Canis lupus familiaris: one gene and its partners. The protein of the gene in region 1 interacts with the protein of each later gene in a pairwise test. Links are inferred from orthologs where the notes say so. Each region holds a gene or a part of one and is shown in the gene's direction. Other genes may lie near its edges.

Region 1 (3,500 bases):
TTTTCAATTAAAGATATATTAACTTTAATTTTATACCTTTAGGTATAAAAGTTTAGAAGTAAGACATGATATTATTAAATATTGATAAATATTGACAATTTATTATATACGTTCCTTAAAATAGAAAACACAAATATTAATTTTGGTATAAAAAGAATGAAAATATCGTCTTTTTTTTTTTTTTACTATAATAGATAGATCAAATACTGATTCATCAGCAAATTGAGCTTCTGGAAGGTATGTATTCATTTTATTGACCATATTTCTAGAAAGAAGATGTTTTTACAGATAAAAGCATATCAGCAACCACAAATATAACACTTTCACTGATGTGGAACAGTTAAATCTGATTATTTACAAATGTCTTTCTTCATGATAATGAAATGATGGCAATTATCAGTGGCACATTTCTGGAAATTAGAAGTCAACTTGTAAAACACCATTATTCTGAGCATCCATCCTCATGCCAACTTAGAAGGAAGCCCATCAAAAGTACTTTTGCTCCCACTTCCCTCTAGAAATCATTTCAGCTGTTTTCTCCAGCCTGACATGATCTTGATGCTGACACAGAACCATATGCACTAGTTCAGTTACCTTGGTACATTTCTAAAGCCAGGAAAGTCCTTCAATTTGGATGGGTATGTTTTGGAAAATGTATTCTTGCCAACAATTTATATCAGGAGTTCATATGAACCTTGTAAGACCTTTGTTCTGTGGGCTGTGGATTATCACCTTGGGTGCAGGGCTAATGCATTGTTGGAGGATGCTGATCAGTAGGCTTGGAGGCCTGGCTTCTTAAAACAGCACTCCTGCTCATGTGAATGGCAAATAAATATTTCCTTGGGTACAGCACTCCTGAGGTGCAAGGTAAACTTAAGAAGCCACCAGATGCTTCAAGACTCTTACCAGGGGAAAGAGAACCTAGATGCCTTCATGAACCATGGTGTCTTTCTTCTAGATATAAAGAGTAATGAACGCTCAGCTAGAGTTTATAATATATCTGTTAAGTCCTTCATCTCTCTGCAAAGTTTGTTTCCAATGATAGAAATTATAACTATGAATAGTAAGAGCAGAATAATAGATTTAGTTTTGCCTGTTTTATTTAAATTGCTTATAATGAAAAAAAAGTAATAAATTGCTTATAATGTACGTTGTTAGATATTTATAATATGCGTGTTTTTAGTTAATACTAAGTTTTCCCTGGAAAGGCATTCTTTGTTGCTTGATAATTAGTACTTTGAATTTTTTAATGTTTTAAGAAATTTATTTTTGATGTCATAAAATCAAACCAAACCAGATACTGTACATCATAAAGCACTCCCCATTTATAGTTTTTAAATGTATAAGTTTTATACATATCATGAAAGGTAAAGTAAGTTCAAAATTTATAGTTATTCTTCAGTTTTCTAATAGTGATGTCTTCAATTTTCTTCTTTTCTCTTCATCTCAATGAAAGTATATATTGTAACATGATAGCATAAAGAGATGGAGATTATTCCATTTATTTTTACCATCTGAGTGTATGACAGGCACTTACACACTTCCCAATTCAAAACTTTATAGACAGTAATGATGACCATAGAAGTCTTATTTCATTCTCATTTTGTAACTAGAAGGTAACTTAGAGATTGTGTAAACCCATTCATCTCATTTTACAGATAAACTAGCTAAGAATTTGAGATTAAGCTAGCTAATGAAACATTTAGATAACAGACTCCATGTTACGAATCAGTTTAATTTTTTTCTTACACAGCACTTGACTGGCAGATGTTGAGGTCAAGGGTGGTTCTTTTAAAAATCCAAAGGCTGGCTGAAGCCAGCTAAGATACTTAAGAGAGGCCATGATCATAGAATTTATGAAGGACATCTATATCTGACTAAGTCTATCCACACAGATATTAGAGAATATTTTTTGTCTCCATATGTATCTCTCTATCATTCATTATATATTGGTGGCTTTCTGGCATCTCATGACCCACGTTAATGAGGACTGTAGACTAGTAGGACTGTTAATGTTCCCCTGGCTCTAAGCAAGGAGAGGTTTGCAATGTGTGATTCAGTATAGGAGCCCATTGGTAAGATGTCACATGGACATCAGCATTTAGCATACCTCTGTCCCCTTGTGAAAAGATTAGCCTCCTCCAGAGTACAGAATTTACGTAGGATGCCAGTGGTCTAGATAGCCTATTGAGTTGCAGCCTTGGTTGCGAAGCACCTCTTCCCATTGTCTAATACCCATCACCCACTTCTGAATAACTACCGCTAAGCTAAACCATTTTTTTTTTCCATTTTGGCAGCATTGCTACTCATATTTGGAAATTGCACCACTGATCAGAGCTGTGTTCCTTCATCCAACCCACTATTTTTAAAAGGGTTTAAGAAAGAGTTCCTTAACAATTTAGACATTTTTCATAAATATGGAGATTAAAAAATGTGCAAAGGCCAGTAGAGCAAATCTTAAACCAGGGTGCTCTGAGCCCAATGTGATGTTCTAATTCACCCTCCATTTTAACCCCCTCCCTTTCTTAATGCACAAGTGTGCATTAAGAGTAAGCCCTGTCATTACTCACCATCACACAGTGCAAAAACATAAGCCATGAATATTATATATAAAAAAACTCAAGCCAATTTATTCAACAGAATATTTCATAGAGTATGAACATAGCAACCATCCTATATTCCCTTATATAATTGAATATTAGAAAACTATACCAAGCAAGTGGATATTTTCTGCATGCACAAAGCAAGCTATGACCATCTACATCACTGTACCATCCCTCAGAAGCAGTCTGTCTTTCTGACATGAGACTATGGAATTAAGAAGATAGGAGTTTTCTTTTCCCTGTCTTACACAGAGACTTTAATTTCTCTGTTCCTTAATACCTTCTCCTTCTTTTTTCCCTTTATCTTTTATCCTCTATCTAGATCATCTCTAAACACCTTTCCTTTTTGTTAAAGTATGATCTACAAATGGTAGGATATAGTATCTTAGGATAGATTCGATATTCTTTTAGTATAATGGTCATAATGATTCCCTCTCTTATGTTTTTAGTCATAACAGGTTTTGAAACTAATAACAAATATGAAATTAAGAACAGCTTTGGACAGAGGATTTACTTTGCAGCAGAGGATACGGATTTCTGTACCCGAAATTGCTGTGGAGCTTCTAGGCCTTTTACCATAAGGATTCTTGATAATATGGGCCAAGAAGTTATAACTCTGGAGAGACCACTAAGGTGTGGCAGCTGTTGTTGCCCTTGCTGCCTTCAGGAGGTCAGTGAGTAGTTCAGTAAGAATTGTTACCCTTTTATTGAATTTATGTAATCAAATGAGATTTAAAGGAAAATTGATCCATAAGCTTATTGGTTTATACTTGAGAATAAATTGTCCAAGAAGAAAGGCAGGTGAAAAACAATGAGCAGTTAGCCTCATGGCCATGAGTAGTGTGTCTGTCTCATGGGGTTGAGATCAGAGATCTGAGACCAGGCTTCTTGATCTTC
Region 2 (3,612 bases), on another chromosome or scaffold:
ACATATGTCCACCACTATTATGGTATCATTCAGAGTAGGTTCATGCTAATGTAAATCAAAGCCCATATTCTTCACCGCAATGTTATAAAGGCTCCCAGAGTATGTGCCATCTGGTAGACAAAGGGACATCCGAAAAGAGGCCATTGGCATATTTGTATTCCCAAGAATAACCACCACCACCCTCAGACATCCTGGGATGATTTATTTAAGCAGTGGACATTTGCATGCCATAGCGTAATTACTAAAGTGTTTTCCCATAGGATTTCGTGTCCGCATCCCAAAAGTCCTATTTAAGGGTGAATGGGCAGTCCAGCGCAGCCATATGGTTAAGAATTTGGGGTTGGGGGCCAAACTGCCTGAGGTTTAAATACTGGCCCCAGGGCACCTGGGTGGCTCAGTGGTGGAGCATCTGCCTTTGGCTCAGGGGTGGTCCGGGGATCCTGGGATCCAGTCCCCCATTGGGTTCCCCATGCGGAGCCTGCTTCTCTCTCTGCCTATGTCTCTGCCTTTCTCTGTGTGTCTCTCATGAATAAATAAATAAAATCTTTAATAAATGAGTGAATGAATGAATACTGGCCGCAAAGCTCCTCATCCCGACCACCTCGGGTAAACTAACTTCTGGATTCCCTGAGCTGGGGGGCGCGGTGGCGATGCCAAGCTCACAGAGCCCGCGGGCCTAAGGACTGTGTGCCCGGGGCCCCCGGGGAGCCAGCACGGCTAGCAGGGTGTGCGCTCGCGTTTCACGAACGAGGTGCTGCAACTGCCAGGCGCTAGGGGAGTGTGCACGGCCCCCAAGGTACGAGTGGGGCCCAGTTTCCTGACACCAGGCACTTTCCCCTCTAGGCCTTCCACCTCCCCAAGTGTAGGATGCATGTTTTGCAATGTACAAGGTAGGTCCCCCACCCCGAACCCCACACCCCGCTGCCAAGAGGTTCAACTCTAGGCCCAGGTGCCTCATCCCCGCACCCCCAGGTGGTGCGCAGGTTTCACATGAACCGGCCCCGAGCGTCCTCGGAGTTGGGGAGCACTGCCCCCAGCCTCGGGCCCCGTCGCCCCCTTTCAAATCCTGCGTCACAAGCCCCCTGCGAACCCTCGCGCGGCACCTGGTTCCACCCGAACCGCCCCCCGTCGCCCAAGGAGAACGACCTGGACCCCGATTGGCTGTCGCCCCGGGCAACCAAGGACGCGGTGGGCACGCGGGGCCTCCGGCCACTATTTAAAGGCCGCGCCGCCCGCGCCCGCTCAGTCCCGCCGGGTCCCGGGCCCGACGGGGAAGCGCCTGGGTGGGGAGGGAGCCGCCAGGTACGCGCACCCCGGCCTGCCCGGCTCCCAGGCTCCCGGCGCCTCCGCCGAGGCGGGCGTGGGGGGCCCCGGGAGCGGGTGTCCCCGTGCGTCGCCCACCACCACCTTCGTCCCCCCCTCCCTCCCCAGCCTTACCCAGCCCCAGCCCACCTGGGCCGGACCGCTCGGGGGCGCAGGACGAGAGACTGCGGAGCAAGCGCGAGCGAGCGAGCGAGCGGAGCGGACGGAGACCGGCACGTGCTGCCGCCGCGCAGGCGGACGAGGCTCTGCACACCCGAGGCTCTGCACACCCTCGGCTCGGGCCAAACGACCGCAGCTTCCGGGGCGCTTCCGCTTCCACCTCCCCGAGCTCCGTGAGCGATGACCCAGACCCTCTACACACGGGAGGAGCCTCGTAACCTGGGCGGCGGCTGGGCGCCCCCCGCCCCGTTGCGCACCTGGTCCACCTGCCACCGAAGGCGCAGGGGCGCCCCGATTTACAAGCGGCGCCGCCGCTACGGCCCCAAGTCTGAGTATGAGCCCCCCTGGAAACAGCCGAAGCAGCAGCACGGCCCGGGCCCGTGGTTCCAGCCACCCCGACGGCCCTACTGGGCCGTGTCCCCTAACGGGGGGCGCCGCGGGGGGCCCTGGCGCCCGCCCCCCGGGGGCTTCTGGCGGCGGCCCGGCCGCGTGCAAGTGATCCGGGTGTACGGCCTGCACCCCGTCTGCCTGTGCTGCTGCTCGTGCTGGCGCGGGCCCTGGAAGCGCGGCTGGGCGCGGCCCCCGGGCAGGAGGAAGCGCTGGGGCCGCCGGGGTCGAGGCCCGCGCCGCCCGCCTCGCCGCCCCTCCCCGCCGCGCCCGCCCGCCGCGCTGAGCACCCTGCTCCGGCCCGTCAACCTGTACGGGTGGCGCGCGCCGGGCATGCGGGCGCCGCGCAACACCACGCAGTTCATCATGAACCAGATCTACGAGGACATGCGGCAGGAGGAGCTGGAGCGCCAGCAGGAGGCGCTGCGGAGGCAGCAGGCCGCCCCCGGGGGCTCCTCCCAGAGCGACGAGGCCCCCCGCGGCGAGGAGGGGGAGGGGGAGGAGGAGGACCGGGAGGAGGAGGAGGACCGGGAGGAGGAGGAGGAGGAGGAGGACGCCGGCCCGTGGGGCGCTCCGTACGGCGGCGTGCAGGACCCGTCGCTCGTCTTCAGTCCCGACCCCGACCGGGAGCTCGGGTCTCCCGCCGCACCGCTGGGGCAGGAGGAGCAGGGGGAGGAGGGGGAGGAGTGCGAGTGCGAGTGTGACAACGAGGAGTGTGATGGGAAGGAGGAGGAGAGCCAGGAGGAGGAGGAGGAGGAAGAGGCCTCAGATGATGAAGAGGAGGAGGTCGAAGAGGCTGACTGTGTGGAGGAGGGGGAGGAGGAGCAGGAGGAGGAGGAGGGGGAGGAGGGGGAGGAGGACCAGGAGGAGGAGGAGGAGGATCAGGAGGAGGAGGAGGAGACAGAAGAGGAGGCCGTGGAGGAGGAGGAGCCGAGAGAGGAAGAGAACCATTTACCTCTGCAAATGCCTTTGTCGTTCCTAGTGGGGCCCGAGGAAGAGAGAGAGAACTTTCTAAACTGTGCTTATTTAAGCCCCAAGCAGATCATTCCTAGAGTGGCCCAGGAAGCCCTCCTCGTGGTTGAGACATTAACTGTTAGCAGGAAAAGGATTGAGGATGGGATGGAACTGATGTGAGGCTAAAATGGAATAGCCACTTATTGAAAACCAGTTCCAAAAAAAAAAAAAAAAAAGAGTTCCATTAATAAACATACCAGTGGAAACCCCTTCTTTGGCCATCATAAAATGTTCAGAAACTGGTGTGTTTGTGTATGAGTATGGGTGGGGGAGGGGCAGCTTTCAAATATAATTTAATCGGAAATGATTAAAGGCCAAATATTTTATTACTGCAGTTTGAATGGTTTCATTTGGTGTTTTCCTCTCTAGACACAAGATTTTTTTTTCAATTCTGGCAATTTTTTTTTTTTTTTAAGTTCTGGCAATGCTGGAAGGTTTTTCTAGGGTGCTTTTTTGTTTTGGTTTTGGTTTTGTTTCTTTGGTAACAGATTTATTCAACTGTCAAGTAGACAGTTGAGCTTGGAATCAACAGGTTTTTTGGCGGTTACATGCTTCAGGAGCCCACGCGGTAGCTGCTGAATGTCTGTCAGTGCTCTTAACATCATAGTGACACCATGTAAGAATGTCTATATTTCAAAAAAATATTTTTCCTCGTAGATTCTCCACCTTCAGAGTTCGTTTTTGAGGGTTGTAATTTGCTAACCCCACTTGTCTCTCGTGGCATCACTC
Region 3 (3,968 bases), on another chromosome or scaffold:
CTTTTTTTGGGCCGCCAAAGTTTCCAAAGATAATTTATTTCCGTTTGACCTAAGATATCCAAACTTTCATCATGGCCTCAGAGTCGTTTCTTGAGCCACAACTTTCCTTCTCCCTGCCATACCCCAGCTCTCTATACCCTTTGAACAAACCTCCCTGTTCCTGCTCTGGGGCCTTTCCACTTGCTCTTCCCCTGCCTGGATATCTTTACCTTGGTTTTCACATTACTGGCTCCTTCTTGTAAGTCAGCCCTTTACTGCTTACCCCATCTGAGGCCCAACCTCAAATCCTACAACCTCTGTGACAGAGACCTGAAAATCTCTGTTTAATGAGCTCCCTAAGCAATGAGTAATATGTAGGCAGGTCTGGAGCACAGCACCTCACTCCCGTCCACATTTCTTACCTTCCTCTTCTCCAGGAAGTTCCGCCCGGAGCCAGAAACGGGAGGCCCGCCTAGACAAGGTCCTCTCAGACATGAAGCGACACAAGAAGCTGGAGGAGCAGATCCTTCGTACTGGCAGGGATCTCTTCAGCCTGGACTCAGAGGACCCCAGCCCCACCAGCCCCCCGCTCCGGTCCTCAGGGAGCACACTCTTCCCCCGGCAACGGAAATATTGAGTGTTGTTGCAGCCTTTAGCGTGCAGAGCTTATACCTTCTGGGCTCTCCTTCCCTAACTCTGGGCACTGGGAACTGGGCAAGAGGAGAGAGCTCCCAAGCTCCCAACACCGCACCTTGCCAGAAAGAGGACATGTGTGTGTATTTATGCTTTCTGTTGAACATTTATTTGGAGACCTGGGCTGAATTTTTGGAATCTAGAATAAAAAAAACACAAAGTTATTTTCTCCTAGAGGGTGGGCTGCAGCAGGAACCCAGTTCTGGAGCAGCCGGATCAGGATCCTAGTCACTCAGGTGGGGAAATGAAAATTAAAGCCACATGGGACAGAGATGAGCTCAGCACCTGCCCCCAATTCTCGTTCCAGTGCTGCCAGCTGGCTCTGAGGCGGGACCTTCCTGAGGGCTGAAAGGGCTGCAGTGCCTTCAGCTGCCAGAGGAGCCGCCCATAGGAAAAAAAGGAGACAAACAGCTGCAAGGGCTCTTTAAATGGCCAAGCCCCACCCCCAAGCTTGCCCTCCTCTGTCAGGAAGTGATCCCTGGGGTTGGGCCAGGGAGTTCCCCCATCTGAGGGATCTGTGGCAGCGGACACCCTTCCGGGTATACTTCGTACTGGTCCTAAACACCCCTAAACCAGTGGTGGGGCCTTGTGTCCCTCCAGGCTCTCTGAGCCTGGTCCTGCCTTCTAGGGCCGCTTGCTTCTGCCGGGGCAGGTAAGACCTCTCTGACCCTGAGGAGGAAGAAGGTGGGTGGAGGCTTACGTTCCTTGTTGGATTTTTTTTCTTTTTTCTGTATTTTGAAAGTAAAGGTTGGTCAACTTGTTACCTTGCCAACACTCCCTACCCCCCAAAATCTCAGGCCTCTCGACTTCAGGGGCTCCCACATCAGAAGTAAGGGCCAGAGGAAAGTGGGTCCATTTATACTCCCTCCTGGGTCCCTGCTGTCTGCTCCCCCTTGGGGCTGGCCTGGGCTCTGGCCTGTCCTCTAGAGCCTTTATTTATTTTTTAAAGTTTTTTTTTTTTTTTTTTTTTTTTTTTGTTCATGAGAGACAGTGAGAGGCAGAGACAGGGAGAAGCAGGCTCCATGCAGGTTGCCCGACGTGGGACTCGATCCCCGGACTCCAGGACCACGCCCTGGGCCAAAGGCAGGCGCTAAACAGCTGAGCCACCCCGGGATCCCTCTCTTGAGCTTTTAGAATGTGATTTCTCCCTACCCCTGCCCCCGGGATCCTTCATCTCTGCCAAATGAAGCTTTCCTATTGCCTCACTAAAGGCTATGCCAATGTGGGACCATGTGGGAAGTGGTTAGGAAAGCAATTTGAGGTAGGCTGGACTTCTAGAAGGTGTGGGGGTTGGTTGTTGAGCAAGGCTCTTTTTCTCTTTGGGAGAAATGAAGGAACCCAAAATTCCTTTGGGCTTGCCAGTCTGTGATTGTGGACATCTTAGGGTTGGCTCTTCTTGAGTGAAGTCTGGAGGGGTGGGAGACAGTGGGTTGAGACAGATGTCCCTGTGTTGTCTGCTCCTTGCCCTGGGGGGACCCTGGATTGTGAGGGGGAAGCCTTCTGTTACATGGGGTGCCAGCCTGTGTGCTCCCTGGGAACTCCTGCCTGTTTCCGCCCTTGGCACACAGGCCTGACCTGGGGTGAAGCTTTCTGGGCGAGGCAGCTCTCCAGAGGCAGGAGCTGGTAGAGGAGCCACCTTGAGTGGATGCCCCTTGACCCCCCCACCCCCACCCCGGGCTCCAAGAACTTGGGCCTCCTTGTTTGTTGGAGGCTACCTGCAGCGCCCCCCCCCCCCCCCCGCCCCCCGCAACTCCCTCCCTGGTCTTAGGTCCCTGTTTTGTGCCAAGAAGCCAGGCTACTTCCTGGTTTGGGAGCTCTGCAGGTAGGGTAAGAGACAGGATTCTGACCCTGTCCTTTGACCGTTGTGCAAAATTCCTTAACTTCTAGGTTCCTGTGAGGATTAGATGAATGAGTTAAAAGGCACACAACACCTAGCACAGGTTAATTCCTTAATAAGTGGGAGCTGTTATTTGGGGGCTCTTGCCAAAGATACATGTTCCGGAGCCTCCTGGAAACTCAGCTGGTCTGGGTGAGGCCTGGGAATCCGCATGAACAGGAGCAATGCTCTCAGCTGGGTCTTATGATGGAGTGAGCTTAGAAAACACTGATCTGGATCAGGAATTGTGAAGCCTGGTTCCTGGGTCACTTCTCAACTAGGCAATCATTGCCTTCAGTGATGAGCATTAATTAGTGTCCGGGAGATAGGACAAGAAGCATTCTGAGCTGGCAGATGTGTTGTGGCTCCAGTGAGGCCACCAAGCTGCTCCTCCCACAAAGTAGTTGGACTGGAGCTCAGATAAGTCTTCCCTAGGAAGGAAAGTTCCTAAAACTTTGCTCTTACACAGTTGTGGTCAGTATGAGACAAGTTCTCAAAAGTCCCCTAAAGCAGAAAATAATTTCCCTAAACTAAACCAGCGTATAAACATCTGTGCATAGTGAAGGCTTCTGGCCTTCCCCAAAGTCTAGAATGTTTAAAATCAGGGAAACTGCAATAATGAGCCCTTGTTTATGCTAGGCATCGTGCATTTTCCTAAACCTGAGGTTTTTTTTTTTTTGTTTTTTTTAAATTTTTATTTATTTATGATAGTTACAGAGAGAAAGAGAGGCAGAGACACAGGCAGAGGGAGAAGCAGGCTGCATGCACCGGGAGCCCGATGTGGGATTCGATCCTGGGTCTCCAGGATCGTGCCCTGGGCCAAAGGCAGGCGCCAAACTGCTGCGCCACCCAGGGACCCCTAAACCTGAGTTTGATAGAGGTGATAGTGGCAGGCTGGGCCACCGGCCTCCCCTCCAACTTCAGGCTGCGTGGGGCAGGGGACTTGCATTGGCTAGGGGGTCCCTGGGCCTGGCAGTGGATTGGGCTGGAGGTGAATAACCAAATGCCAAATGCCCTGCCCTTGAGGAGCAGTCTGTAATCTGAGCTTGTCTTTAAATCTCCCTCCTTCCTCCCAGCCCCCTACTTTGAGCCTGTGCACTAGAGATACCCTGTGGCCACTAATCTCTTCAAGCCCAGGAAATAGTCCCTTTTCTTTCCACTTCTCAGTCTAGGACACTCCGGCTCAGAGTTAGCAAGTGGCCCAAGATAATGAGAGTTCAGTCCTTGCTGTGTATTAGATTTAGTGGGGAAGCTTTTAAATATAGTAATGGTCAGGATGCCCGGATGGCTCAGTCTGTGTAGCCTCAACCTTTTTTTCTATTTTTTAAAAGATATTTTATTTAGAGCAAGAGAGAGCACATGTGCAAGCGGAGGGGCAGAGGGAGAGGCAGTCCCAAGCAGACTGCACTGAGCTTTGAGC

What was found. The genes of interacting proteins can lie anywhere in the genome.
Region 2: the proteins of PLSCR1 (region 1) and CCER1 interact in a two-hybrid assay, tested with the Homo sapiens proteins (2 studies listed by BioGRID and IntAct). The two-hybrid records come from large-scale screens. The link is inferred for Canis lupus familiaris from reciprocal best matches to the Homo sapiens genes PLSCR1 and CCER1.
Region 3: the proteins of PLSCR1 (region 1) and MVP interact in a two-hybrid assay, tested with the Homo sapiens proteins (2 studies listed by BioGRID and IntAct). The link is inferred for Canis lupus familiaris from reciprocal best matches to the Homo sapiens genes PLSCR1 and MVP.

What each region holds. Positions count from the first base shown.
Region 1 is NC_049244.1:42,176,495-42,179,994, reverse strand, and holds part of PLSCR1 (phospholipid scramblase 1), read left to right. Parts: intron 1-194; coding exon 195-237; intron 238-3,052; coding exon 3,053-3,273; intron 3,274-3,500. UniProt on the Homo sapiens protein: Catalyzes calcium-induced ATP-independent rapid bidirectional and non-specific movement of phospholipids (lipid scrambling or lipid flip-flop) between the inner and outer leaflet of the plasma membrane resulting in collapse of the phospholipid asymmetry which leads to phosphatidylserine externalization on the cell surface.
Region 2 is NC_049236.1:31,966,000-31,969,611, reverse strand, and holds CCER1 (coiled-coil domain-containing glutamate-rich protein 1), read left to right. Parts: upstream 1-1,170; 5' UTR 1,171-1,302; intron 1,303-1,431; 5' UTR 1,432-1,662; coding exon 1,663-2,340; intron 2,341-2,712; coding exon 2,713-3,003; 3' UTR 3,004-3,112; downstream 3,113-3,612. UniProt on the Homo sapiens protein: Regulator of histone epigenetic modifications and chromatin compaction into the sperm head, required for histone-to-protamine (HTP) transition.
Region 3 is NC_049227.1:18,042,823-18,046,790, forward strand, and holds the start of MVP (major vault protein), read left to right. Parts: upstream 1-1,168; 5' UTR 1,169-1,324; intron 1,325-3,968. Other genes in the region: PAGR1 (PAXIP1-associated glutamate-rich protein 1), read left to right, coding at 417-616. UniProt on the Homo sapiens protein: Required for normal vault structure. Vaults are multi-subunit structures that may act as scaffolds for proteins involved in signal transduction. Vaults may also play a role in nucleo-cytoplasmic transport.